Notamacropus eugenii: one gene and its partners. The protein of the gene in region 1 interacts with the protein of each later gene in a pairwise test. Links are inferred from orthologs where the notes say so. Each region holds a gene or a part of one and is shown in the gene's direction. Other genes may lie near its edges.

Evidence for each region.
Region 2: the proteins of phospholipid scramblase 2-like (region 1) and CRY1 interact in a two-hybrid assay, tested with the Homo sapiens proteins (2 studies listed by BioGRID and IntAct). The link is inferred for Notamacropus eugenii from reciprocal best matches to the Homo sapiens genes PLSCR1 and CRY1.
Region 3: the proteins of phospholipid scramblase 2-like (region 1) and RGS3 interact in binary tests that used the Homo sapiens proteins (3 or more experiments, as listed by UniProt). The two-hybrid records come from large-scale screens. The link is inferred for Notamacropus eugenii from reciprocal best matches to the Homo sapiens genes PLSCR1 and RGS3.
Region 4: the proteins of phospholipid scramblase 2-like (region 1) and ANXA11 interact in a two-hybrid assay, tested with the Homo sapiens proteins (2 studies listed by BioGRID and IntAct). The two-hybrid records come from large-scale screens. The link is inferred for Notamacropus eugenii from reciprocal best matches to the Homo sapiens genes PLSCR1 and ANXA11.

What each region holds. Positions count from the first base shown.
Region 1 is NC_092877.1:335,160,412-335,167,725, reverse strand, and holds the start of phospholipid scramblase 2-like, read left to right. Parts: upstream 1-4,284; 5' UTR 4,285-4,366; exon of another isoform or gene 4,367-4,370; intron 4,371-6,898; 5' UTR 6,899-7,005; coding exon 7,006-7,068; intron 7,069-7,314. UniProt on the Homo sapiens protein: Catalyzes calcium-induced ATP-independent rapid bidirectional and non-specific movement of phospholipids (lipid scrambling or lipid flip-flop) between the inner and outer leaflet of the plasma membrane resulting in collapse of the phospholipid asymmetry which leads to phosphatidylserine externalization on the cell surface.
Region 2 is NC_092874.1:289,311,777-289,319,312, reverse strand, and holds the start of CRY1 (cryptochrome-1), read left to right. Parts: upstream 1-4,513; 5' UTR 4,514-5,070; coding exon 5,071-5,228; intron 5,229-7,536.
Region 3 is NC_092872.1:478,293,585-478,300,814, reverse strand, and holds the start of RGS3 (regulator of G-protein signaling 3), read left to right. Parts: upstream 1-4,223; coding exon 4,224-4,396; intron 4,397-5,183; coding exon 5,184-5,235; intron 5,236-7,230. UniProt on the Homo sapiens protein: Down-regulates signaling from heterotrimeric G-proteins by increasing the GTPase activity of the alpha subunits, thereby driving them into their inactive GDP-bound form.
Region 4 is NC_092872.1:229,641,788-229,649,394, reverse strand, and holds the start of ANXA11 (annexin A11), read left to right. Parts: upstream 1-4,603; 5' UTR 4,604-4,916; intron 4,917-4,973; exon of another isoform or gene 4,974-5,056; intron 5,057-5,254; exon of another isoform or gene 5,255-6,010; intron 6,011-7,607. UniProt on the Homo sapiens protein: Binds specifically to calcyclin in a calcium-dependent manner. Required for midbody formation and completion of the terminal phase of cytokinesis.

The sequences.
Region 1 (7,314 bases):
AAGAATGTAAAGGGAGAGTAGAAAAAATCCTACCATATACTCTTGAGGAACACCTAGATTAAATGGCTGGAAAGAGGATGAAAAACAAATAAACTAGCCAGAGAATTGGTGTTTAAAGGGGTACAAAGGATGAGAACCAATAAAGTGTGATGTCTCTGAAGAGATAAGTTCCCAATAGGAAGGAAAAGTCAAGTGCATCAAAAGTTGCAAAGACAGTAAAGGGGCTGCAAATTATAAAAATAAAAAGTGCTGGACTTGATTATTACAATGTCACTGGTGTTTTTTGAAAGAGTAGCTTCAAAATACACAGGATCAACACTTGCTTATATTCTTATTGTTTGGGGAGTGGCTAAATAAATTTAAATGTATGAATATAATGAAGTATTATTCTCACATGAGAAGTAAGGACAGTGAAGAAGTCAGAGAAGCATGAGAACATTTACAAACTAATATAGAATCAGGGATTCAATAAACAACATGACCATAACTATATAGATGGAAATTATAACAAAACCAAACCAAATGCCATGGAATTATAATGTATGGACTTGACCACAAAAGAAAAGTTGAGAAAATGTACTTTCTTCTATCAGTGTAGAGAAAGAAAGGGATGTAGGTCTGGCATATTGCATATACCATCAGTCATAGTTAATGAGTATGATTACTTTCCCTTTGTTTTTTTCTTCATTATATTTCTAAATCTTTTTTTAAGAAATGAAACACTAGGTTGTAAGGAGGTAAATATTGGGAAACTAATGTTGTATAAAAATGTTATATAAAAGAAGGTATTGAATAAGGTTTAAAAAGTTGCACATGAAATCAGAAATTCTGTGTGTGTATGTGGAAGACAGAGAGAGACAGAGAGAAAAAGAGAGAGAGAGAGACAGAGAATGGCCGCATATGAATAAACTATTATGTAGCAAAAGTTGATAGAATCCTAATAAAACTGCCCCTGGCCCCAATATTCTAACTTTCTTATAAGCTTCACTGAACAGCAGGCCCACTGACCCTGCCTAGCCACTCAAACCTCCCCCACCCCCACTTCAATATCCTATATATGCCTCACTGCTGACTAGTACAACAGGTGTATCCATGAACTCATATTTCTCACAGAAACAGAAGGTGTGTCCATTTGATGGGATCTGAGACACTGCTTCCAGCTAGTCACTGCCCTTAGAACAATTCTTCATATTTCGCAGAGAAACAGCAGGTGTGTTCATGCACTCAACCACAATCACACCTGTCTGGTCTCAGACACGGTCCCAATATTCAGGCAATCAAAAAGCAGCACCACCAGAATGCCCAAGCAGGATGTGGACCACAGAACAATAGAAGGAACTTCCCCTAAAGTAGACACCTACTCAGTAATAACAAAAGCTGTCCTTCAGGTGTACTTGTGTCGTAGAGAGTCTTATTATAATATCATGATCAAAGATATATGCCCCCTCAATGAGTTTTTTCTATATGCATTGTGGGTAATTGCATTTCCAGTTCCACTGTGGTTGGAACCCCTATGGTATTACCTAATACCTTAACAAACCCCCTCCTACCTTTTTAATATTCATAATTTCTGTTTACGTATTTGCATCTTTACCCTATAAAAATCCATTTTCCTTTCTCCAAAATTGCTGAGTCCTCTTGGAACTTAGCCCATTTCATAAGAATCATCAGTCTCAATAAAAATCCATGCTTGGCTTACAAGTGATCTGACACTGAATTCTTTGAGACCTTTTTGCTACAATACATCATGAAAACACAACAAAATGATAAATATGAACTTTAATTAGAGTTAAAGAAGAAGAAATGGAAGAATGAGATGTAAAAAAGACTGACTATTTAAATGAAAAGATCACCAAAGGAAACAAACACTGGGTAACTTGAATACCCCACAATGGTTCGGTTAAGTAAATAAACCCAGAGCTTCCTCCTGTCTACAAAGTCAAGACACTGTGCTGTAAGAATGTTGTAAAAATTGTCACACTCAGTCAAGGAAAGTGGAGACTTTGCTTATCAGCTTTTCTTTTTTGCTAAGGAAGCTTACATCCATGGGGAGGGACTGGGTGGTGAAAAATGAAAGCACTGTTAGGTGCAAATATTAACTTTTCCAAAATTTTCAACTCAGCTTCCTGTCCCTTTCTGAGCTCTCATCTTCTGCACATTGTTGTAGGATTATGTAGTGACTTTCATTATTTATAGTTTAGTCACCATAGGCAATTTCTAAGACAGTTTCAAGCAACTCTAGTCTGCATTGGTAGGAGGTCTCTCATGGGGAGTTTGAATGAAATCAGAGGTCCGACTGCTTCTATTTTTTAAGGTCTTATGCTTTTTATTTTATTTTAATTTATTGAATAAAACAAGCATTTCCATAACAAAAAATTCCTTGTCCATAAAGCACTTTGCAATTCCTGGCTTTGGTGGCATGACAAAAATAAATGGCAGGGTTCAGCTTGGAGTATGGAAGAGAAAGACCTGATTTGATATTGTAACCTTGAGGTTTACTAGCTGCGTGATCACAAACAAGTCACATTACTTTTCTGAGCTGTCATCTGCACATTTATTAAAAGGCCCTTGTATGTAGTATAAAGATTGTGAAACTCTAGGAAGATCACTCATACACACACATACATACACACACATATATGTGTATATATATATATATATATATATATATAAATTTAAAATATTATGTCAAAATATCATGTCAGCCATTATAATAGCAACAAACATTTATTAAAAGCTTATGTATGAATCAGGTAATCGTGTATCAGGTAATGGGAATGAAACAAACAAAATGATTCCTGCCTTGAAGGAGCTCTCATCCTAACAGGGGAAGCTCTGTGTAAATAGCTATGCCCACGCAAATTATATACTAAGTACATGGAAGATAATCTCAGTGGGAAGGCCCTAGCAACTGGGAGCAAGGGCAAAGTGTCTTCTGATGAAGGTGGGATTTTAGTTGAATTCTCAAGGAAGCCAGAGGCCAAGTGGAGGAGGTGAAGAGGGAGTATATTCCAAGTCTGGAAGACAGCCAGTACCAAGATGGAGACAAGAGAGGGGAAATCAGATGGCAAGAACAGCACGAAGCCCAGAGAAGTAATTGCTGAGTTTGTGGAGGGAAGTGAAATGTGAGAAGAATGGACAGGTTGGAAGGAGCCAGGTTGTGAAGAGTTTTAAGGGTTGCAGAGAAAGTAAATTTGAAAATCTCTAGAATTTAATGTTTCTCCAATGGAAGTTTTTTCATTACAAAATACTGACTGGAACTGCCACTTATGTCAACAGGGACAGTAAAACACTAAAATACTTTAATCATATCTTATCTATCCCCTAAGTCATTCAATCCAATCAAAGGATCTAGTAAGTATGTAAACTCCATGAATTCAGGACTTTTATATCTTGAGTACTAAGTTCAGCCCTTGGTACATAGCAGGTGACCAACAAACGATAGTGGAAAGCTTCAAGGTTTTCTAACTAATCCTGATTTCACTCTTCTCACTAATCCCATCACACATCCATTTCAAATGTCCCTTTATTTCTTATCTTCAAGCCTTTGCCCAAGCAGGCTTGAGTACTGGGAATGAACTCCTGGCCAAAATGTAAGAAGCACCATGCTTCCTGACTTGGAGTCAGGAAATCCAGCCTCAGGCACCTAGCTGCATCTGGACAAGGCAGTCATCTTCTCAGGCTCAATTCCTTCATCTGTAAAATGAAGGAGTGGACCCTTTTAGGTCCTTTCCATCTCCTTCCTCCTATGATGGTTTATCTTCCTTTGAATCAGAGCTCCAACTCAGTTTCCTTCAATAGTATTCCAGGTCTATAGAAAACCTGCCCACGTGTGTCATTCCCTCCTATTGATATGAATCGCTCCAATTCACAGGCAAAAATTCAAGCTTCCCTCTTCTCTCCATTAGAAGGTGTTTCCAGTACCGTTAGGAAAGCAGCGTATACATGAGTGCCTCTTTTCACGATGACCATCAATTGATGTCTCAACATTGAATTTTATCTTAGACTTTGGAAAGGAATAGAGGTAACTACATTATTTTATGTAACATAAAAACAGAAGGAAGAAATGAAAAGTAGAGGGAACTGTCGTTCATCTCTCGTTCTTGAAGAGGACCAATGACGTCAGGAAGGTGAGTAAGGCAAGGCTGTGCAGTCACCAGCCTCACTCAAAAGGGAAGGGATACGGTTTATGAAAGTATGTTTTCAAAAGGACGTCTCCCTAGTGGTTCAATTGTATTGCAAGGGCGGAGACTGCTGGTTAGCAGCTTCTAGTTCCCTGGTTCGTTTTTCTTTTCTTTTTTTCTGTTTCCGCCGGTGGAGGACATTTAATCACAGTTCAAGAGTGAAGCCAGAAGATTAGATTCAGGTAGGTAAGTGTATGAGGGTGGAAACACCGCATCTGGGTCCACACAAGAGAACTCAGTGGGAAATACGTCTTTAGCTGTCATTCGTTTTCTGTTAGTGTTTTAGAGAGAAAGAGAGGGAGAGAGGGAGGAAGGGAGGGAGGGAGGGAGGGAGGAGAGAGAGAGAGAGAGAGAGAGAGAGAGAGAGAGAGAGAGAGAGAGAGAGAGAGAGAGAGAGAGAGAGAGAATGAGAGAGAGAGAGAGACAGAGACAGAGAGAGAGAGAGAGACAGAGACAGAGACAGAGACAGAGACAGACAGAGAGACAGAGACAGAGACAGAGAGAGACAGAGAGACAGACAGAGACAGAGAGACAGAGACAGAGAGAGACAGAGAGAGAAAGAGACGGGAGACAGAGAGGGGAGACAGAGAGGGGAGACAGTTGGGGGAGAGAGAGTCTACAGGTCGGATTCGAAGTGGAGTGAGCCGGAAGCCCCTCAATTCAGGGAGAGGGGAAGCAAGGGGAGGGGGTGGAGTGTGTCTGCTGCTCGGCTTTATTAGAGATCCTTGTGGGATTCCTGGGCTCGGTTGAGGGTGGGAAGGGGAAGTTGTCCCTCTGGACGTCTGGAGTGCAGGGGGAGGGGATGGATTTAGGGAGTGCGGGACAAGAGGAGGGTAGGAAGTGGTAGGTGTGGGACGTGACCTGAAGGTTGCCGGTCTTGAGTTCTGGTTATCTTTGGAGGCAAGAATGCCAGAGTAGTATGAGAACGATTGTGCTTGGAAAAATAAGGAACAGAAACAAGAAAAAAGAGACCGAAAGTTAAAAAGAAATAGTGAGTCTCCTGTAGCAAAAAGCCTGGATGAACGGCTGGCTGGCTGGCTGCTTACTGGAGTAGCTGAGCTGGTCTTTCCAAAATTGTGCAATCCCTAATCAAATATCTGAGCAGGAAAGAAAAGCATAGTATATGTAAACCAACTCGCACAGGAAAAATAAACTCCTCCATGCATACCTAACAAATGCTTCCCGAAGCCTGGAGCATGCAGAGGTTAATTAAAAAGAGGACAGAGGGCTTACGGCCTCCCAACCCCCAGAGACAGCCAACTGCAAGCTCTCATCTGAGAAAGTTGTGCAGTATTTTCTTTTGTCGCTGTAGCTTGGTCCTTATGCAGCGATGTCCAGCTCTTCATGACCCCATTTAGACTTTTCTTGTCAAAGATACTAGGGTGGCCTGCCATTTCTTTCTCCAGCTCATTTTACAGATGAGGAAAGGGAGGCATACAGAGTTTAGTGACTTGCCCAAGGTCACTCAGCTTGTAAGTGTCTGAGGGCCATCTGAGCTCAGGAAGATGAGTCTTCCTGACTCCAGGCCCTAAACTCCTTTCACTATACCACCTTTTTTCTCCTTAACCTACAGCTAAAATCTGCCACTCCAACTTCCAGTCAGTCAACAGTTTATTAAAACAGTCACTATATCAAGGTTCTATGCTAACAGCAAAGCAAAGAAAGACAAAAACAGTTTCTGTCCTAAGGATCTCATAAAGTACTAGAGAGAACACCATGCAAATAGATACAGAAGATATAATAAAGGCCAAAGGGGAACTTAGAGAGGAAGGCACTAGAACTCTGGGGAGGAACCAGGAAGGACTCCTTCAGAATGGGGGATTTTAGCTGAGTGAAGTTAGTGGAAAACTAGGAGATGGAGGTAAAGAGGTAGAGAATTTCAGAACTGGAGTTCACCCAGGAGACTGAACAAGGATTGGCTTTACTGCTCTACTAATTCTGAATGGAAGAAGTGTGATGCCTCTTCCCCTTGAATTTGTGCTACTTTGTCCAGTTAAGAGTCCTGGAATAAGGACCAAGGAAAAGTCATCTGGACGTACAACAAACAATTCCATTTTCTCATCCAAGGAAGTCAGGAAGGAACTAAGAAGAAAGGGGCAAAAAGGAAGGAAAGAAAAAGAGTAAGAAAGAAAGAAAGAGGAAAAAAGGAAAGAAAGAAGGAAGGAAAACTAAAATTATTTACTGAAAACTTCTTATGTGCTATTAGGGAAATGTGGAATGGTATGGAATACTCTCTCAAATGGCATAGTATACAATCCCTGCTGGTACAGAGTTAATATAGTCCAATTGTCCGTATGTTTTCATTTATTTTTTAATGATTCCTGGAAATCTTGGTATACTCATCCTCCTTTTCCAAGAACAGCCTTTCCTGTAGTCTTGGGAATTTTGTTTTGTTTCTGTCAGGGCTGTTTAGAGAACAATGATTCATTCAATGAGCCTTGCTCAGACAGAAGCAGTCAGTAAAAGCATCCACAGGTAATTTGTTTTCTTAATAGCAGAAGTTCCCTCTAATAGTATTTAGGTTTTCTCAGGATTATTGAGAAGGAAAAAAAGTAAATATCCACTAAGGATTAGAAGAGAGGAAAAAAGGAAAATTATTTATTCTCTTCATTGGCTAATAAGTTTACATAACTGGTTAATATACTTCATTGGTTAATACATTTATAAAAATAAACTTAAATTGGTTAATACACTGAACTTCCATATTTAATCAGTTTCCAGATGTGGAAGAGAATTGCTTTGCATAAAGCACCAACCAAAACCAAAATAAAAATATTTCAGGACACATTGGAAACCAAAATGAACTCACAGAGCCCAGATCATGTCTCTTTCCATCAACAATTTATTTCAGGATTATAAAATCATCATTTCAGCTCTGGAAGAGGTCAGTGTCTTATCCAACCACCTTATTTTACAAATGAAGGGACTGAGGACAAGGGAAACTAAGTAACTAGCCCAAGCTAACACAGGTCTTAAATGTCAAATGTTGGATTTGAACTCATGTCCTCTGACTGTAGAGACATTGCTCTTTTCTTTGGATCACACTCTTATCGTGTTACCCTATTATCAGAGAGGTAGCCTGGTATGCTGTAAAGAGCTCTGGCCTTGAGGTCTGTAAAGACTTATGTTT
Region 2 (7,536 bases), on another chromosome or scaffold:
CACCTCCTAGGAACCCCTCCCACTTCTCCCTTCCTGTAACTGCCCTAGGGACCCATATCCCTACCCCCTGCAGAGTTCCCTGTCTCAAATCCTAGGCCCAGCTTCCCTGGAAATTCCTGGCTAGGGAAATGAATGGAGAAGCCCAGGAAAATCCTTCTGGCTTCCTACCCATCATGAACGGCACATCCTCCAACTATGTTCCTTCTCCCAGTGATCCAAGGTGACTTGAATGTGGAGCTCCTTCCAGTGTCACAGGTGGTGGCCACTCCTCCCCAGCTTCCTTCAAGCCTCCACCCAGGGCCTCCCTTTTCCTCTACTTTTTAGGGGTTTTTCATAGGCACTCCAGTTAAGACTATAGGTGCCTTCTCAGAATAATGATTTTGAATGCAAAAACTACAAAAGACATATTACATTGAAAAACAAGTTCTTGGACCCCAGAATAAGAGCCCCTACAAGCTGTTCATGTTTCCTCCCCATCTCAGATTTTCTGATCTGTATCAAGGCTGTATGTGTATTCTGTCCCTGCACCCCATATTCTCTATATCCCCAATAACTAGCAGAGTACCTTGTATATAATAGGTGCTGAATAAATACTCCATGAATTGAATTTTCAGGCTCATACTAGCGGTATGACCCTGGGCAAGTCACTTAGCCTATGTCTGCCTGCAAAATGTCATCTACAACATGGGGGTGATAGTAGCTCCTAACTCCTGGGTTGTTGCGAAGCTAAAGTAAGATTGTTTTTGTAAAGTGCTTAACAAACCTCCAAGTACTCTATAAATGCTATTTGTATTATAGTTGTTCTATCCGGACATCTAAACTGGATCAGTGAGGGATCAGGGGTTTAACCTGTAACATCTGGCAATAGGTACAGGGAGATATAAATACCCTTTGACCTAGCAATATCACTACTGAATCTGTATCCCAAAGAGATTTAAAAAAGGAAAAGGACCTATATGTACAAAAATATTTGTAGCAGTTCTTTGTTGGGGCAAAGAACTGGAAATGGAGGGGATGCTCATCAATTGGGGAATGACTGAACAAGTTGTGGTATGTGATTATGATGGAATACTATTGGGCTTTAAGAAATGATGAGCAGGATGCTCTCAGAAAAACCTGGAAAGACTTTTATGAGCTGATTCAAAGTGACATGTGCTTTGTACTGTGTACAAAGTAACAGCAATATTGTAAGATGAATCAGCTGTGAATGACTTAGCTATTCTCAGAGATACAATGATCCGAGACAACTCTGAAGGACTTAAGATAAAAAATGCTATTCATCCCCAGGGAAAGAACTGACAGAGTCTGAATACAGACAGAAGCATACGGTTTTTTACTTTCTTTTTTTTTTTTTAATTTTTTTATCAGTTTTCTTTCACAACATGACTAATATGGAAATGTTTTGCATGACTACACATGTAGAACCTATATGGAATTGCTTGCCTTCTCAGTGGGGATGGGTGGGAAGGGAGGAAGGGAGAGAAGCTGGAACTCAAAGTTTTAAAAATGAATGTTAAAATTTGTTTTTGCATGTAACTGGGAGAAAATAAGATACTAAATAAAAACAAACAACAAAGAAAAGATAAAAATAATGATCCCTGTTCTCAAGGAGCTTCCTTTCTATCGGATGGGGAGGGGGAAGAGTCTAGAATGACTGAAGTTTTGAACCGAGGGAATAAGAGGAGGAGGATGCTATCCTGGGAAAATATGGAAGTGAGTTGGGGAAAAGGTGGTGAAAACTACTGGATGTCTTCAGCTTTGGGTTCCAGCCCGTCCAGATGGAGGCATCCAGTAATGGGTTGGAGTCACAGGGCTGGAATTTAGGAGAAAAACAAGGGATTCTGACCCCTGCATAGAGGTCATCATGGAACCTGCCAGGGAAGATAACAGCCCCAGGTTAGAGTGTTGGGGCTGTCTACCTCTTTACAGGTGCATGGCGGGTCTAGAAGTGATCACTAATAATAACCCCAGGTCCACCTCTTTATAGGTGCATGGATAGTCTACAAGTGATCAATCAGAGCAACCATGACTGGAAAAGCTGCCCCTGGATTCCCAATTCTGGGCACCCTGTGGGTTGGGCAAACCAGGAAGTACTCCATGACTTTCATGCCCCATTTAAGGTAGAAACCTTAAATGTTCTTCAAGGGAATGAATGGAAATTTCAAGCAAGTAAAGGGTAGGAGCACTTCTCTGTGTGGTCATACTCTCCTCATAACAGTTTTATGGGAAATAATGAGAAGTGGGAACAGGTAGCACATGGCTGCCCCACTGATGTCAATGGAGCCAGCGCCCACATCATACAAGGAGTAGAAGGGTGGGAGTGGGTGCCTGGAAGGGGAAGGAGAGAAAAATTTGTAATGTCTCCCAGCCACTCCAGATCTCTGGATTCCCAGGATCCAAGAACCAAATAAGATGGGAAAAGTGATACTGAAAATGCAGATGGGATTCATAGGAAGGTTACCTGGTGGTGTCTGGGTGTGCCAATCTCTTGGCAGAGGGAGTTAGAAGAGAAAATGAAGGAAGGCCATAGAAAGAAGGCTTGAAGATTAATGAATGAAAATGGTGGGCGGGACAAATTCCTGGAAGATATGATAAGGTATAAAATCAAGAGTATAAGAAAAGGCATTTACTTGGACAAGTTGGACTTCCTTCAAGCTAGGAGTAAAGGAGGGAGACAGGTATAAATATAAACAGGTGTTTAGGTACAGATTTGAGGAGAAATGAGAACTGAAGACGGGGGAGATTTAGGAAGTTAGGATGATCTGAGGGTATGGAGACATGAGTATCAGAGTTTATGCTCTGGAACTATTTGAGGATCTATTTGAGGGTAGAGAACATGACTTTGTAGCAGACCCAGACGGCATGATTACACGGCTTCCTCTTCGAGGCATTCTGAAGGATGGCAGAGGACAATGGGAGTGACTCAGGATTGAGAGTCTTCGTAGTGTAAGCGAAACAAAAGAACCAGGGATTCAAGGTACATGACGGAGCCTTGTTGAACTGGTTAACTATAGGGATGAGACAATGAAGGCAAGCAAAGAGCAGGCATAATGTACTGGGGGAAGGGAGTCAGGACTCAGAAAATCAGAGGATGCTGGTGAGGACCAAAATCAGGTTTAGGAGTGAGACGTGGACAATGCTGGAGGATGGGAGATTGGGATTTCAGATCCCAAGATCGGATATCGAGGGAGCACAGTTTGGTGTGAAGGGGGGGTGGGTCTATCCCTTGGATGGAGGGGAGATATTGATCATGGGAATCTAGAGGAGAGTATTGATGGGAGGGGACAGAGGGGAACGTTTATGCTTAATTCCTCAACCATGAGGGCAGAGGGTGGAATCAAAGACTCAGAGATTCCTACGAAAGACGCGAGAGGACCAGGAAGGCTGCAGATCTCAGGGCCACGAGGTTCCAGACCTGATGAGTCAGACCGGAGATGTGAGCCTCCAGGGGAGGCTGCAGAAGCGTTGGAGGGCCCCGAAGGGCATCAGCCAAGGGGGAGGGTCTGCTTGCCCTTCGGCTGGGGAGTTTGACAAGAGCTCGCAGCCACCGAGGGCAGCCTGGGGGCTTCTAGGGGTTAGAAGAAAAAGTGGCCAGGCTCCCCGTCGCGGGAGAGGTGGGGAAGTAAGGCTTCTCAGGTTCGTTTCCAGAGAACGTTCATCCCCCAGAGTCCGACTCGGGGCTACCGTGAGAGGCCGTCAGAAAGAGGTCTGGCACCCCAAGTGGAAGCGGGCCGAGCTGGGCGAAGCCCCCGGGGGTGTCACAAATGGATGCGGGTGGGGAAGGGGTATCCCCGATCCTGGAGATGGGGTGTAGGAGAAGGGGAGTCACGCAGCCGTTGATGAAAGTGACCCCCGGGAGTGTCTGGGAAGAGAGGGTCACCCGGGGGTGCCTCTGGAGAAGTGGGGCTCCCTGAGGCCCCTAGCATTTAGATAGAGCCTCCCACGTGCCGGGCACTGGGCTGAGTAAGTGCTTTTTACAAACACTATCTCCTTGGACTCTCCATAACAATGCTTGGAGATAGGTGCTGACTAGCCCCATTTTACAGGTGAGGAAACTGAGGCAGAGGATGACCCAGATCACGTGGCTAGTCGGTGTCCTGCGCTCCGGACTTTCTGGTCACCTTGGGGATAACTTCTGGGGCCCCCTGAAGACCCTTGAGGGCGCCTTGAAGGGGGCGGGGCACGAAGAGGGTGGGTCAGGCCCAGACTTCAGTAAGCCCCTAGCCCAGCGCTCTGCTGGGGCAGGGGCAAGGGCAGGGCGGGAGCGGCTGCGCAGGCTCACTGCTCAGCACGGGACCACGCGCCGGGCGCGTGCAGGGCCGCCCCGGGAGCGCGCGCGCGCGGCTGCCGCCGAGCTCCTCGCAGCCCCGTGCTCATCCGGGACTCCACCGGCTCCCGGACTGTCAGCAGCCAATCGCGGCCCTCGGGGGCGGGGCTTGGGTGTTGGCTCACGCGGTACGGGGAGAGGTCGCCACCGGCTCCGTGGGGGGGAAGGGGGAGGCTGGGACGCCATCGATACCCGTGAGAGCGAAGGACGGGGAGCGCCGTCAGCTACGACTCACGTCTGCAAAGCCTGCGGCGGCGGCCAGGGGCCGAGCGGCTGCTTCGGGAGCGCGAGGCGCCGCCATGGGTCCCCGGCTCCTCCCTGCCGCCGGTTGCCGGGTGTAGTAAACACACTTCAGAAACGTGACGAGCTGGCGGTCACGTGGCAGGGGCTTCAGCCAATGGGCGTCCGGGGGCGGGGCCTGGGCTGCTGACGCGTCCGCCCCAGCGCGAGGAGCCAGAGTCCGAGCCGGAGCTGGCACTGACTCCGGGAACCCAAGAGCAGGCGGGCCGGAGCGGGATCCGGCCTCGGACCAAGGCCGGCGCCAGAACCTGAGCTTCCCCTTCTTCTCCTTCTCTGTCGGCCCCGGCTCGGGCCGGCGCGGCCACGTGACCCCCGGGGCGTCGGCGCGAGGCTCCCCCCCACCGGTCCGCCGGGACGCGATGTGGCCGGGCGGCCGCGGGCTTCGCTGGGTCCTAGCGCCCGCCGCTCTCTAAGGCCCCTCCGGGAGACGGGCAGGCTGCGAGATGGGAGTGAACGCCGTGCACTGGTTCCGGAAGGGGCTTCGGCTCCACGACAACCCCGCGCTCAAGGAGTGCATCGAGGGCGCCGACACCGTGCGCTGCGTCTACATCCTGGACCCCTGGTTCGCGGGCTCCTCCAACGTGGGCATCAACAGGTGGAGGTGAGTCCGGGCTCGGACAATGACTGGGAGGGAAGGAGGGTGGGGAGGGGGCCCGGCTCCCAGAGCCACGTGTCGATCAACGTGTGATGTCACCGTCTGCTTCCCTCTCCGTGAGAGCCACGAGTCGGTCGTATTGATCGATGATCTATATGGGATACTGTAATTTTCTCGGAGCCTCAGTTTCCCCCTCTGTAAGGGGGAAGGATGGACTCCGAGGCCCTTACCCCAGAGCCACCCGTCAATCATGTTGATTGGCAATCAGTGTGGGATACTGTAATTTTCTCGGAGCCTCAATTTCTTCCTCCGTGAAATGGAGGGGGTGGGCTCTAGAGCCACAGGTCAGTCAGTCAGCATGGGATGTTGTAATTTTCTGTGAGCCTCAGTTTCTTTCTGTGTAAAGTTTGGAGATGCCAGCCACCTCTTCATCCTTATGTGAATCTCTGAGCCTCAGTTTCTTTATTTGTAAAAGGAGGACGTTGGCCTAAATTGGCTCCTGAAGTCCTTGTACCTGAGCCTCGGTTTTCTTTCTCTGTACCTGTAAGGGGGGGTTGCACTGGGTGGGCTGTAAGAACCCTATTGTCCCTAGAACTCATCCTCCGAGCCTCAGTTTCTCTGCCTGTCAAATGAGCAATTTGGGTTACATGGGCTTGGAGGAGCCTCTGATCTCTGGATATGTGACTCTGTGATCCCTCAGGGACCAAACATTTTATGAGGGGTCTGGAGAGGTGACTATGATGTATGTACAGCCTTTTGCAAACTTGAGAGCCCTGTATAAATGATCCCAGCTCTTCTTAGGTGCCTGCAGTGGGGGAGGACTAAGCACTGAAAGAGCTGGTCTGTGGGTTTGGGGGGGAGGGACAGTTTGGAAGGGTTAGAGGTCCCTACCTACAGAGAGCAAAGTGAGCCCCCTTCTCATTCAGTGACTTGGCCAAGGGCACACTGGTAGCGAGAGCCAGACCTCTTCTGGCTCCAAAGCAAGTCCCTGCCATCAAGGAGCTCACTTCCCTGCTGGAGTTGGGGGTAGGTAATGTGCCCCATGCATAAGTCAGTGCATTTGTGGTGGGATGGGGGAGATCTGTGATTTCTGGTATAGGCACAGGCCAGGCTTGGGACTTCAGATCCCACTTGTGACACTGATTCACCTCCATGGGCCTCCCTTTTCTCTAATATAAAAATGAAGGTGTTGGACCCCCTTGGCCCTTCTAACTGTATGTCTGATCCTTGTGTGGTGTTGAAACTCTAAGTATAGAGCAGCAGAGGGCTGCTGGGCAGATGGGGACCTCCTCTGTGCTTATTATCAAGGATCCTGGAAACCACCTCCCTTCTCATTTCATAGAAGAGGACACTGAAGCCCCCCAAAGTAGCAGAACCAGGATGAGACATCCCCTCCTCTCTCTACAGGATCAGAAAATGGTAGCTCTGAAGTTTGCTGAGTGGCCCCTGTTGCAGCCCTCTTTAGCCCCGTTTTATAGCTGAGAGACTTGAAGCAAAGAGGTGTCAGATAAGTTGCATGGAGTCAGGGGGCTAGGAGGGGCCAGAGCTGGGACCTCAGCCTGAATGCCCTGATGCCTGCCATCTCCCAGGCACACGCCACAGCCCTGGGCTTTCTAATCAAGTCTGCGTTTGAGAGCAGGAAGGAAGGAGTGCTATTACTTAAGAATTAAACCAAAACGACCAGAGTTCTCCTGGCCTCTCTGCTCCATTCTGTGTATTCCCCAAATCCAGTCCACCCCAAGCTTGTGGCTTCCTGCTCTCCCTGAGTACAGCCCTGGCCGCCAGCGCGTCTCTGTGTGTACTCTTTGTTTTGGTGCCAGAGCCAAGACTACGGGCATTTGGGGGCTTCTCCACCTTGAGGCTGATGTTGGAGCAGCAGCAGGGCCCGGCTTGTGGCTCAGCTTTTCCTTACTCCGCCTTGTGGCTGAGAAGATCCAGCACACTTGGACTTTATAGGCACCTCAGAAAGAGATCCTCCCAGCCCATCACATGGGAGAAACCTAGGAAATGATGCTCTCCCTTCCTTCCCATCATCCCCCTGAAATATCAGCTTCTAGCCCTACCCTCCCTTCATGGGGAAACTTTCCTTAACAGCCCTTTTCCCTGGATTCCCAGACAGGTGATGATAAATGGCAGAGGAGATTCAGAGCAAATGCTCGCCTCACACCTGGCACTGAGTCAGTGCTAATGGCATCAGACCAGTATAGCACAGGCATTTATTCCTCCAGGGAAAAGAAAACCCCTTAAAAATGGCCAGACCGTCAACTAGAGAATCCTCAGAAGAATCATATCAGTGTCATTGTGTGAGGGAGGA
Region 3 (7,230 bases), on another chromosome or scaffold:
GTGTGTGTGTGTGTGTGTGTGTGTAATCCCACCCACTACCTAGATACTGAAAAGTTTCAAGAGTTACAAATATTTTCTTTCCATGTAGGAATGTAAACAGTTCAACTTTAGTAAGTCCCTTGTGACTTCTCTTTGCTGTTTACCTTTTCATGCTTCTCTTCATTCTCATGTTTGAAAGTCAAATTTTCTTTTCAGCTCTGGTCTTTTCATCAAGAATGCTTGAAAGTCCCCAATTTCGTTGAAAGACCATTTTTTCCCCTGAAGTATTATACTCGGTTTTGCTGGGTAGGTGATTCTTGGTTTTAGTCCTAGTTCCTTTGATTTCTGGAATATCATATTCCATGCCCTTCAATCCCTTAATGTAGAAGCTGCTAGATCTTGTGTTATCCTGATTGTATTTCCACAATACTTGAATTGTTTCTTTCTAGCTGCTTGCAATATTTTCTCCTTGATCAGGGAACTCTGGAATTTGGCCACAATGTTCCTAGGAGTTTCTCTTTTTGTATCTCTTTTAGGCGGTGATCGGTGGATTCCTTGAATACCTATTTTGCCCTCTGGTTCTAGAATCTCAGGGCAGTTTTCCTTGATAATTTCACGAAAGATGATGTCTAGGCTCTTTTTCTGATCATGGCTTTCAGGTAGTCCCATAATTTTTAAATTATCTCTTCTGGATCTATTTTCCAGGTCAGTTGTTTTTCCAATGAGATATTTCACATTATCTTCCATTTTTTCATTCTTTTGGTTTTGCTTTTTGATTTCTTGGTTTCTCACAAAGTCATTAGCCTCCATCTGTTCCATTCTAATTTTGAAAGAACTATTTTCTTCAGTGAGCTTTTGAACCTCCTTTTCCATTTGGCTAATTCTGCTTTTTAAAGCATTCTTCTCCTCATTGGCTTTTTGAACGTCTTTTGCCAATTGCGTTAGCCTATTTTTCAAGGTGTTATTTTCTTCAGCATTTTTTTGGGTCTCCTTTAGCAAGGTGTGGAGCTGCTTTTCATGCTTTTCTTGCATCTCTCTCATTTCTCTTCCCAGTTTTTCCTCCACCTCTCTAACTTGATTTTCAAAATCCTTTTTGAGCTCTTCCATGGCCTGAGCCCATGATATATTTATGCTGGATGTTTGGGATACAGAAGCCTTGACTTCTGTGTCTTTCCCTGATGGTAAGCATTGTTCTTCCTCATCAGAAAGGAAGGGAGGAGATATCTGTTCACCAAGAAAATAACCTTCTATAGTCTTATTTTTTTTCCCTTTTCTGGGCATTTTCCCAGCCAATGACTTGACTTCTGAGTTTTCTTTCCACCCCCACCATGCCTCCAGATCCTCCCAGCCAGCGCTTGGGGTCTGAGATTCAAATGCTGCTTCCCAGCCTCAGGGCTTTGGGTGGGGGCAGGGCTGCTATTCAGTGTGAGATTAAGTTCAGGTGCTCAGGTGGGGGCAGAGCCACCACTTGGGGCTCAGTTCCCTCAGGGGGTTTATGTGGAGACCTTCAACAATGGATCCGGGCTCCTGCCTGCTTAAGGAGCCCTGGTCCGCTGCCACCTCCGCTGCTGCCTCCCGAGGGGGCCTGAGTTATGGAGACACCCTGCTCTCCTCTCGGCAAGCCAAAAAGTCTCACTCACCCCCGGCGTCTGTGGGTGGAGGGACCCACGCGGCCACTGTAGATTCTGTCCCTGAAGCCTGCTGGGATCTGCTCCTCTTGGTGCCACGCAGCCAAGGCAGGGCTGGGCTCTGCTCCTGGTCTGGTGCGTGATGGACCTTTCGAGTCAGGTTTTCAGAGCTCTCTGGAACAGAAATCTCCTCTGCTCCATCATTCTGTGGCTTCTGCTGCTCCAGAATTTGTTGGGAGTTCTTCTTTACAGATATTTTATGGGCTGTGGGTTCAGAGCTAACATATGTGTGTCTTTCTACTCTGCCATCTTGGCTCCTCCCCCTCCACAGAAATTTTTCAAGCAAAGGCTGGTTAATCATTTCTTGGACATATAGAGAAGGAGATTCCTGTCCAGGTTTGAGTTGACCTAGAAGGCTTCTGAGAGCTCTTCCAGCTAGTCTTCTGTAATTTTTCCCTGTGAATCTCGTCAAAGTGATCTTGTAGTGTCTTTGGTCTCCATGTGATGTCATCCATAAACTGAGAATCCAGAGCACCTTACTGTCAATGCAGGGAATCTCTCTTCCATTTGGACTTTGAATAGGATACAGTGACACCCTCCATGATACTAGCAAATGCCTTTGGCAAACATATGTCCTCTTTTTTTTATATGTTGCTTGGTATGACTCCTTGGAGGATTGGTAGATTATCTTTATGGTTGTATCTATTAAGTTATTTTATAACATGGGAGACAATTTGTTAGAAAAAAGTTTTTTAAGGCTTTTGTTTTTCTGAGTCATGCCATTTTGCAGCCAACAAACAGACACAATGGCATCTCCTGTCTTCCTTGTATCTCATTTTATGATTATGAAGATATAGTCTGTTGTAAAGGCTCATTTCTGTCTTTCTTCCCCTGTGCTCCTTACATTTTCACCACAAAAATATGCCCAGACCACTGCCGTTGAGGATTTCAGAGAAATGAGAAAAGAAGGCATAGTAGCTGGTAGTTGAAATGCTCTTGATCATCTTTTTTTTGGGGGGCGGGACAATAGCACCAGCTCTTCCAAGTATTTTGGAATCTATGATGTTTTGAAAATTGATCCTCAAAAGCCCTTAAAGTTGCATCACCTTTTAGAATGAAATTCTCTAATAGTTTTTTGGTCGGGTTCATCTGTGTAGTCCAACTTTCTTATATAGAATGTATGTGTGTGTGTATACACATATACCTGTATATATCTACTTCCCGCACAAAAACTCCACTATGATGTTTCCCTATAGTATGGAGTTGACCTAGGGTTCTCAAAATACATGCCACTATGTACATACTTTGGCATGTTCTATCAAACTGAGAAAGGTTTAAAGTATGGTTCTAATAGTAGATTATAACCTGACTGAGGATGAGATTAAGTATGGCTAGAATGTTATTATTATTGCCAGAAGGTTGGCTCCCAGGTGATATGCTTTTTGGTCATTGTGACCCAGAAAAGATATAAAACACAACAGAGCCTTTAGAGCAGCACAACTCCCTTCTGCTTGGGCAGTGATAGTGGCAGGACAGAAGCAGAAGAGAGAGCAGAGGGTTCTAAGAATCACAGTTTTTAGACCATTTACAAACTTCTTTAGCCAATGGTACAATAAACATGAGATTTTTGTTCAGTAACCAATGAGTTAATACGCTACTGGAGGAACTGATATTTGTACTATAAATGACACCAGAAGATATAAAGTATGGGGATAGCCCCACACGAAAGTTTGCAGTGATAGTCAAACATTGCTGCAGTTCCCTAAAGTGTTCTAAAAAAATACATGTATTTTCTTTGCTGGCTCTTAATCATGGGGTTATAGAATGTTAGAAGTGGAAGGTGACCATTAAGAGAAAATGAGGTCCAGAGAGAGGAAGTGAATTGCCCAAGGTCTTCTTTGATATAGTTTGGTCTTTGATATTTCTGAGCAAAATCTCCCAAGTTAAAAACCTGTATTTCCACTTTATTTCCTACCCAGACCCTGCATGCTGATTTAGGTCATCAAGTCTTCTTGATGCTGTTTGGCATATTGAAGTTTCTCAGGCTCATGTGGCTCATCTTTGCAACAAGAAATAAATGCTTCGGTGAAGAATTACTGACCTACGGACACCTGTATTCCATACACCATTAAGTGAAATGACAATATCTTATTAAAAGGCAAGTCCTTCATTTAAGAGGTTGAGTAAAATATTAAAAATAATCCCAGCTAGTTAAATTTAGGGTGCTAAAAAGGCCAGTCCAAGGATACACCTGGCTTTGAGCCCAGAGTGTTTTTATGTGACAGTGAATTAGACTGATTTTTCATTCATGTTGAGCTTTTTTTCAGTGTTTGATTCTGAAATAGGCAAATATTGATGAACTTAATCATATTGGTTTCCCATCCCAAATACTATCTTTCTGCAGGATTATTGACATTAAAAGATGACCTAATATTGCTGACATATTTTCAGTGTGAAACATCAGATCTTCCATCTTCTTTTCAATGTTTTTATATCTATCTCTTCTTTTCCATTCCCATTGCTTGCATCCTAACCAACATCCTTACCAACTCCTGCATAGATTTTTCAGTTGCCTTCTAATTGTTACCATCGGATACAGTCTTAAATGAGATTCAGATGAATCTTTGCCAGCTTCTCAGGAGCAGGGTAGTACCTCCCTGCTTTCTTTTCCAGAGCTCTGGGTTAACTTGTATGGTCTGGATCTGCTTTCCTGGAGGAAGACAGGAGTGGACTGGAATATGTAAAGGGAGCTACTGTATTACTTTGCGCCCCACAAGATTCAGTGAGAGGTACTGAAACAAGTGGGAGGGGGTCATACTGCTTGGACTACTGGGGGAGGTAGGAGATAAATGGGATAGATTAATCTTAACTTGTAGAGGAATGGGAAACAGAGCCTTGATTGAGTAAGATGAGAAGCATCGGAAGAAGGCCTTTGTTTATAAGCTGGTGGGATCTACTATAAAAGAACAAAATGAGTCAGTTGCTGAAAAATCATTCTGGCCCTAGAGGTATGAAATTGTCAGCTGGGAATTCAGCCAATTCGCTTATTAAGCAGGGCTGAGCCCAGCACCACTGATGAGGACGACTGTAATGCTGGTTGGGTGTAGGGAAGCAATGACAATGCTAAGGTAGAATGCTGGATGCCTGCCAAGAGTGGAGGTATCAGGGTGAGCAGCAGGAGGTACAACCTTAGCTTCTGCTTCAATGAAACTTGATCCAAGGCAGTGCTGTGAGATTATCAACTGTACAGATTTCTGGGATGGGGGAAAGGAATCACTTTGCAGAGGAGGAAAGGGTTCTTTCTTCCTGGACCTGGGTGTGAGTTCTATGTCCTTTCCTGTGTAAGTAAAATTGGTTTTATTTTTGATGCCTTGTGAACTTGAGTGACCACCTTTGTTTTCTACCTTGGTGGGGGCAAAGGAACTAAAGAAATTTAGAGGTCTCAAGTATACCTGGATCCTTATTGTCAATTGTTGTTGAATCATTTTTCAGTTGTATCTCTTTGATCTCGTTTGGGGTGTTCTTGGGAGAGATACTGGAGTGGTTTGCCATTGCCTTCTCCTTCTCATTTTGCAGACGAGGAACTGAGGCAGCAGATTTAAGTGACTTGCCCAGAGCCACACAGCTAGTAAGTGTCTGAGGCCAGATTTAAACTCAGGAAAATGAGTCTTCCTGTCTCCAGGCCCTGGCATTCTATTCACTGTGCCAACTAGTTGCCTTCGACATTAATTATTCAGAAAGATTTTTTTTTTAGTTATTCAGTTCTTTCTGATTCTTCATGACCCCATATACTGGAAAATATGAAAACATACTGGAATGAGTTTCTTCTCTAGTGGATGAAAGTAAACAGAGGTTAATGACTTGCCCAGGGTCACATAGCTACTGAGGTAGGATTGGAATGTAGGTCTTCCTGATTCCAGGCACATCTTCTGCACCCCTTAGCAGCCTTGTGTTTGCAGTGCCTGTGACATAAGGGTTACCTCGTCAGTGATTATTATCCTGGCCTCTCTAAAGTCATTATAGGAGGTAAAGCCTTTGAAAATTCTGTCCCTTCTCTGAGCTTAGTATTTAATGTAGGATTTATTTTTCTTGGTCTCAGGTTTGCTAAGTTCATCTATTGGAAGTGTTCAAATTACAAAACCCAATGGGAGCTATTTCTTTTCCTCCAGATCCACAGTTATATTACAAAAATATTTTTGAATCTTGACTTAAAGTTGGGTGTGGTGATAAGATAAAATATTTTGTAGTAATTCCCATATAATTTAGATACATTTCTATAGAATGGTAACAGTTGTAGGAGTCCTAGACTAGAAATAATAGCTACAGACCAATGGATTAATAATTATATATCTATAAGTACACATATATATATGCACACACACATATATAGATCACACATGTGATATGTATGATATATATTTATAACTATAGAATAATTCCTACAGATGAGGAATTAGGAATCTCAAGTTTTGATTTCTCTTCAGTTACTTACTGTAGATGTGGGAATGTCTCCTACCCCTCTCTGGTCTTCTGTTGCCTCATTTATGAAATACAGAACCATCTGGTACTGGGCCCCTAGATAAAAAGTCCCTCAGAGATCCCTTAATTGCTGCTTCATTGCCCCTCGGGGAAAACTGGCTAGCCATAGTTATTTCTGGGGTCAGACTGGCCTAGGTTGGATGCCTAGTTAGGAGCAGTGGGGTGGGGAGTAGCAGAGGGACTCTGACTGCCCAGGCCCTGGAGCCAGATCTGCTATCCGGCAGCTTTGGGCCTATGCTTCTGTTTTTCCTCTTAATTGCCCATCTTACCTGGGGTCAAAAGGGAGCTTATAAAACCTTTGAGAGCAGGAGCTCTTGCCCTTGTTGTTCAGTCATTTTTCAGTCGTGTCTGACTCTTCATGACCCCATTTGGAGTTTTCTTGGCAAAGATATTGGAGTGGTTTATCATTTCCTTCTCTAGCCCATTTGACAGATGAGAAAACTGAGGCAAACAGAATTGTTACTTGCCTAGGGTCATACACATAGTGAGTATCTGAGGCTGGATTTGAATTTAGGTCTTTCAGACTCCAGGCCTGGCACTCTGTCCACTGTTCCACCTACCTTCAGGAACTTTGTCCATATACAGGTCTCTCCAGGGCTGTGCAGGCTTCTTGCTGCCAGGTGAGCACAAACACCCTTTGGTTTCTTTTAATTGAGTGGTGACAGGATGTTGGTTTGGAATCAGAATGACCTTTAGGGATCCTGAAGAGTCATCTCTTGGTAGTTGCCTGGGGATGGGGTTGCCAAAGGCAATAGGACTGTGAGGTGAAGAGTTGCTCTTCCCAGGGAAATAGAAAGGTTTGTGTTTCTCTTGCACTAGGGATTAAAGACCAGCAAGATAAACAGTGTAACTTCCTTTGGGATTAGGGGAAAGAGCAAATAAACAGACGTGTAGATTTGAGGTTGCTGCTGGTATGAGGTGTGTGTGTGTGTGTGTGTGTGTGTGTGTGTGTGTTGGGGTGGGGTGCAGAGGTGAAATATACTTCCTTCGGTCCAGGCTGTAGATACTGCCTTTTTGTTTCTACCTAGAAGTATAAGCATCAGAAACAAACACCTGAAGATCTTCCTCCTTCCGTTGTTCTCTC
Region 4 (7,607 bases), on another chromosome or scaffold:
GAGCTGGAAGAGACCTTAGGGATTACTCTTGTCCAAGCTGCTCATTTTACAAATGAAAAAACTGCGGCCCCAAAAGGGGGGATGACTTGGGCAGCATCCCAGAGAGGCCAGTTCCCATCTTCTTTTCTTTCCCCAGTATTCTTGGGTACTTTGCTTCATTCCTTCCTTAGGTTCCAAGGGCTGAAAGCAATGATTCCCCCAGGCTGCTTCCCATGCCTCTTCTTTATTCATTTTTTCCTCCTTCCCAAATTACATATCGTTGTTTGTCTTTCATTCTCAAAGATGATCATGACATCAGGGAGGTGATGCCATGACAGGTGAGTGATTTGGATTTCAGTGATTTAAGTGAGGGCTGTACAAAGTCACCAGTCTCACTTTCTCCTCCAGAGCCATCTGGAGCCAGTGACCAGATATACATCAGGACTGGAGATGATCCAGAGTGCAGTGGGGATTTTTCAAGATAAGGTCTATAACAGGTCTATTTGACTGAGGCAACACCCATTCAGTGATTGAGGCTTAAGAAATGAAGCAGAGAATATCTTCTTCATCTAGTTTAAAAAAAAAAATCAGTCTGGGAGGGGAGGATCCTCAGGATTTCTGGCCAAAAGAGAAACAACTGCTATTTACATTCCTTACCCTTACCCTGAATGACTCAGGAAGCAGATTCAGCATAATCCTGTGAATCAGCTCCAGAGACACTGGGTTCGAGAAACAATTTGAAGGTTGTAGGTGGAGCCTCTACACCGGGGGTCAATAGAATTCCAAGGAGTGCATGTACTCTGATGAGGAAAAAATTCTTTGTTTTTTCCAAAATAATTGTTCTTTGTTGCAACCCTATATATTTTATATATTTAAGAATATTGTCCTTTCTGAAAGGGTGTCCCTAAGCTTTATTCAACTACCAAAAGTGTCCATGAGACGAATAAGGTTAAGAACCCCTGCTCCAAACCCATTACAAGTGCTGATATGGGTGGGAAATACATCTCTGGATGTTGAGGGTGAAAGGACATCAGACTATGGAGTTGCCAAGACCCACCCAATACTGGGAATTGAGTCTTATTTGGAAGCTGTCCTTAAAAAACAAATTGTACCTAAGAGAAGTTTGCCATTTCATACGTAAGTCCTTTTCATGTTCTTTTTGTATGTTAGAATGTTTCGGCTTAAAGATGTTTGTCAAGTCATAGTGAAAAAGGAAAAAAAATGTTTTGTGGAAATTCTGTTTCTCATCCTAGCTCTTGTGTGATGTTGGAAGTATGATAAGGTCTCAGAAAAGGGGAAGCAAGCTGACAAAACAGACAGATCCAGGGCCTACTGTCTGAACATCTGGGTTCAATTCTGTCCTCATATGCTTACTAGCTGTGTGACCCTGGGCAAGTCACTTTACCTCTATTTACCTCAGTTTCCTCTTCTATAAAATGAGGATACCATCTACCTCACAAAGTCCTTATGAGGATCAAATGAGATAATCTTCGTAAAAAAGTGCTTAGCATGGTTAGTCCTGCATAAATGTTAGCTACTAGATGGCACAGTGGATTGAAATGCTGGGCCTAACATCAGGAAAACATTTTCCTGAGTTCAGATTCAGCCTCAGATACTTATTAGCTGTGTGACCCCTAAACAAGTCATTTAATTCCGTTAGTTTTGGTTTACTCATGTGCAAAATGAACTGGAGAAGGAAATGGCAAACCACTCCAGTATCTTTACCAAGAAAACTCCAAATGGAGTCACAAAGGGTCGGACAGAACTGAAACAATCTTTCCAAGCCATACTGAAGTTTCTTTCATAGAGTTTGTAATACAGAGTTGGTTGTGGGGAAAAAGACAGATTGGATTCATTTGATGGTGTCTGAGGAGAGATATGGAGATAGATGTCAAAGGATGCTTCAAGGGTCAGACCTACAAAAGAGGATGGAGATCATCACCTGGAAAGCAGAAACCTGGTGACTCAGGAAATAGGAACATTGCCATCTGCTAGGAGCTGAAGGAAACTGCCAGCAGATTGACAATTGAAGAGACTTCCAGAACCATGAAAAGAGACCTCAGTTCAGAAGCATTCTGCAAAGTCCAACTAAATAGAATACCTGAGCATGATTGTAAATGATGGTTGTCTGTAGGTGGGTATTGTAACTGCCACTGAGCTCTGTGTGACCCTTATTTGACATCCTTCAACCTATAAATAATCTAGTTAATTTCTTGAACCTTATAAAGGGAATTGGTGACAAGAGATGGTGGGTGAATATCTCAGACTCTGAAAGCAATAAGGCAGAGAAGTGAGAAGTCCCCTTAAGTGTATCCAGGTCCATAAGGATGTTTAAGAGCCTCTAACCTAAAACTTATCAAAATGATCATGCTTTATTACTTTTTCACTGTTCTCCAATCTGAATTCTTCTCTTCTAGTTCATCTAGTCCAGTGGTATCAAACTCATCTAGAATCAGAGACCACTAAACCATACATAAGGATTCCTGTGGGCTATATATTAACTTAGAAAACCACATATGAACATTATCTATGCTCTATTGTATTTTTATTTATTTTATTAAATATTAGTTACATTTTAATCTGGTTTGGCAACATTCGGTAGCTCCGTGGACCTGACATGTGGACAGAATATTTAAGACTTCTGATCTAGTTTGCAGAGGTATAAGAGATGAAATATTGAGCCCAGTTTGGCTGAAACACAGAATGGGTGAAATAAGACTTGAGGTGATTGGAGGCAGCTGATGAGTCGACAGTCAACCTTTTATTAAGTGCCTACTCTGTGCCTTTTATGAATAACCTTTTAAGTACATACTATATGCCTTTTAACAACCTTTTATTAAGTGCCTACTATGTGCCAAGCATTCTTGGGCAAGATCTTAAATGCCATGCTAAGGAGACTATATCTTATCCTAAAGTTAATAGGAAGCCACAGAAAGGTTTTTTGAGCCAAGGTGTAACTCAATAAAATCTGTCTTTTGCTAACATTATTTTGGCAACTGTGTAGAGAGTTTGGAAAAAGGAGAACTAGAGGTAGGGAGATCAGTTAGGAATCTCTGGCAGTGGTCTGGTTGAGATGTCATGAGGACCTCAGTAAGAATGGTGGTCATATGAATGGAAGGGGAGATGATGGGCAGTGTGGAGATGGAGTGACAAGATTTGAAACTTAGATAATAGGGGAGAGTCAGGTAGAGGGAAGTGTTGAGAATGACTTAAGGGCCCATCTTGTACCTTGTGATGGATTTATAAGTGCCAGGTCAATTGGCCTCTAAGCTTCCTAAAGACCCACACCATTTCATTTCTTTTCTTTCCTTTTGCCTAGCACAGGGTGGGTACCTAGCAGATGCTTGCCATTCTAAGTGAGTTGAAAATCTGTAGAAGACTCAGTTAATATTCTGCCCCCAAAATCTGAGGGCACAGCAATGTAATCTTACATAACCTTCAGCTATGAGTCATATCACATGTTGTTCTAGAAATAAGGTTCACATTTATGTAAGGAATTAGCATCTTTATCACTGACTGCCCCTAGCAAAATATTTTTCTTCTAGTATATCCCTCTGGACCCCAGGCTTACAGACTTTGGGTATGGTTGCTTTGGGATGGTTTCTTGAGAAGGGAGCCTCAGCTATCTGCTTGAGAATTTAAGCCTGGGACCTGCCTCTGGTTCTCCCTGTTTTTTATTCACTCATCTTCCAAAAATGCTGCCCAGCCCAGAAAGATTTGTCTTCAGGCTCTTTCCTCTCTCTGAGACTCTGGGAGTTGGGGGCAGCCAGAACAAGATGTTATTTTAAGGTCCTTCAAGAGCAAGGCTAAGCAGGAGAGATTGTGGAAGAGAAGGGAGCACAGTCTCTCTGCTTTACCAGGCCACCTCCCTGTGGTTTGGACGGTTGGCAGGGGTGGCTCCATTCCAAGAACACTAAGCTGCTTTTAACCCACACAAAGTCCCTACTGGAAGCTGGCTGGTGCCCTGGTTTGGGTACCAGGGCTAGCTTCACTAATAGGAACTAGATGTGATTTGAGTCAAAGACGTCTCCTCCCCTCCCCAACATCTTCTCCTTCCTTGACCTAGTTGTGAAGCATGGAATTCCAGAAACTCAAAACACTTTGGCCTTGAGCAGAGTCTTTAACATACAAATCTCTGTGGAGTAGGGGCACAAAGTAACCAAACACCCTAGGTTACTCTACTATTTGGAGGGGGCTGAGGTCAAAAGGAGCAAATGGAAAAAGCAGGGGGAGGGGTGCACTGAAGATTGGGGGGACAGGGAGACCTAGACCTTGTCCTACACGTTTCCCTAAACCCTACGGAGAGTACAGAGGTGGCGGCGTGGTCAGCGATCTCTAGCCGTAGCCCCGTGGTCCGAGCCCCCTGGCCCGTGCTCTCAGCCCCCTGGCCCGTGCTGTCTTCCTCCCTAAGAGGACTAGGAAGACCTCGCCGAGATGAGGGAGGGGCTTCCTCTTTCTCTCCAGTGTTACTGTTTCCTTTTAGGGACACACTGTAGCCTCCGCCAAGTGTAACCCGTGGGACTGGAGGAAAGTCATTTCCCCACGTTGGGCCTCGATTTCCTCATCTGTAAAACCCAGGGGGGTGCCTTTGGGGGTCACGTCCACTCCGGATCCGGGCACCTTCTTTTTCTTTTCCGCCGCCGGACCTCTGGCCCACGCTGGGCTCGGGGACCTTGACGGCCACCTCCCTGCGGGTCTGGGGACCCCCGGCTAGGTTGGACTCTGGGCTAGGATGCGGGGCCGCCTGTTCCGCACTCCCCCCGGCCCCTCCCCGCTGTGTTTTCCGCCCTGTAGGGGCGGGGCGGGCTCCCGGTCCGGGCTCCTCCCTCCTCGGCCCCGCCCGGACCGGAGGACGGCCCGGGGGAGGGAGCCGAGGTTCGGGAGGAAGCCGGACGATCAGACCCAGACATCGGCTCCGGAGACGGCGGGGCTGAGAGGTGAGTGCGCGGGGCTGGGCAGGTGAGGGGCCCCGGCCCTCCTCTGCCCTTCCTCCTCCTCTTCCTCCCCCCCCCCCCCCCAGCCCCGGGAGACAGCTTGTGTGTGCGTTGGGGGAGTCTCTGCGCTCCCGTCAGCGGAGGTAGGCTGCCGCTGGGGTGGGGAGGCGGTAGCTCTCTGCCCCCAGCCCTTGCCGCTTCTGCCACCCCTGCCCAGGTACAGCCGTGCCCTGTGTCCACCGAGGCCAGGGCACGGTGGGGAGCAGGGTTCCCTATCCCCCTCCCCCAGGCCTCCTTCCCTCCCAGGTCCCTGGCCCTAAGCCGGAACTTCCTTCTTTCAAAAGGGCCGAGGGGCCCGGGGGCTCGATTTGCTCGGGCCGGGAGGAGAATCGCCGCCTCCGTGCCCGGTCTGCCGTGGCCCTTTCCCCGCCCGTGCCGGACGGACGCGCTCCTGCGCACCAGCCTGGGCACGGACTGCCCGCTCCCGGGACCCCCCGGCGGCCGGCCCTCGGGGTCCCCAGGCTGCCCGAGCGAGGTGCGCCCGGCCGGGTCTTACCACGGGCATCCTGGGCTGGCTCTCCGCTGGGGTGTTCAAGGTTAGACTCTTAAAGGCCAGCTCGTTACGAAAGCTTATTGGGCTTTGGTGATCGTGGCCACGGGCGGAAGGAATGGAAGGCACCCAGACTGGCTTTTGAGCCGTTTCCGCGGTGGTTTGGATGGAGAGTCTACACCTGCACCTACACTGTAGAGGAGGTAGTGGGACCGTCTTCCGCCTTTCCCACTCCCCCAGGCATTGGAGAGATGAATGATTGGGGCTGGGAGTTACGATTAGGGCCGGGGAGCAAAGTGAAAGCTCACCGAGACTAGAACTCGCGACCGTTGGCCAACCCCCTGGTGTGTTTCACCATCAAGTGAGCGGGAAAAGGCCATCCAGGAGAGATGGAGAGGCTTGCGTGGCCTTAGAGGTCAGGCGTGCTGGATTCAGTTGTCTTTGCCTTCCACCACAGTAAGGAGACAAGGTCCTGCTAAGTTTTGTGAGCTGGTAACGTTCGAGGCTTTACTTGCTGTGGACGTTTTAGGTTTGGGAAACATTTGAGGTACCATACTTTCTTTGTCTTAGCCCACCGTTAAATTGCCCCCTGTTTTCCCACCGGACCTTCCAATTTGAAGGAAAAAATAATTAAGATTATTCCTTGGGAGGGGGAGGGGGAGGGGAAGGGATTGTTGGTAGTGTGGTTGTCTATATGTCAGGGAGCCCCCCTGGAGAGTTAGTTATTCCAAGCAATTGGGAACAGCTCGGTTTGCTGAAAAAAAGAATTACTTAACACCTGTTAATAGGCTGCCAGCTGCTCAGTCCTAGCTGTAAGAAGGGGAAGAACCCGCGGTTCAAGATTTCTGGGAGCTCTGGTTTCTGTTGTTTACCCCTGGCCTCTTAACATTTATCTGTAAAATATCTTATAAAAAGAGAGAGCTTGAATTCTCTGGGCAAATATCAATAGCTAGAGGGGAGAAGGTAGGTCTCTACAAAGTTCCTTCTTGGCCATGTGGATAGAGGAGAAAGAATTTAGCTGTTCGCCTTCCACCAAGGTAGGTGGTGACTAGCACTGGATGGGGAGAGGGAGGGCTAGAGTTTGGGAGACCAGAATTCAAATCCAGACTCAGACACTTAGTTGTGGGATCCTAGGCGAGTTACTTACCTTCTCTTTGCCTCAGTTTCCTCATCTGTAAAACGGGGATAATAAAAGCACCTACCCTATAGGCTTTTAGTGAGGATCAAGAGATCCTCATTTCAAAGCACTTAGCACAGGACTTGACGCAAGGTAAGCCATATGTAAGTGTTAGCTACTGTTATCATTATTCTCAAAGTCAAGGACTAAGGTAGATAATTACTGTTTATTGAACCAGATTACCCAGAGTTGAGTGCAAAGATGCTCAAAGGGCACCAGGAGCTTTGGTACTATTTTCAAAATGGCAGGGCAAGGGAGAAAGAGCTCCAGAGGTGCCCACTGTTGGGCAGGTTAAGTCACCAAGTATTTATTGGGCACTTACTCTCTGCTGGAAGGAAATAAAAAGAAAAGCAAAAATAAAGAATTGCCCGCCCTTGAAGAGCTTACATTATTTTTTTAAAATTTTAATTAATGTATTTTTAGTTTAGAACATTCAGTTCCACAAAAGCCTTTGAATTTTAAATTTTCTCCTCTTCCTTCTTTTACCCCCCTCCCCATGACCACATGCAATCTGATAGAAGAAAAGCTTACATTCTAATGGAAGAAAACATATGAAAAAGGAAGCTGAAAGGGAGGGCAAGAAGGAGAAGGCAAGAACTACCCATAGTGGGAGGATGGTGGAGAAAAGAAATCTAGAAAGTCTGGAGCTCATAATGGGACCCCGGACAGAAATCTTTGTGGGTCCTCTTCTGGTTTTGACCTTTGTGGTTTGGACTTACTTTGTATGCTTGAGTCCAGTGACACATTTTACCATCTACCATTTAACAGGCATTAACTACCTGACCAAATACATCAGCAGAAAGTCACTAGCCGGGCCCTGGTCTCAAGGCTTTTTAGAAGATCCCAAGGAGAATAAGATTTTTGCTTCAAGGTGCTTTCTATCTGGTGGGGTAGGAAAAACAGTCTGACATGGCAACTTTTGGGAGTGTATAAAATGAAGGGGTGACATTAGATCCCTCTCAGCTCC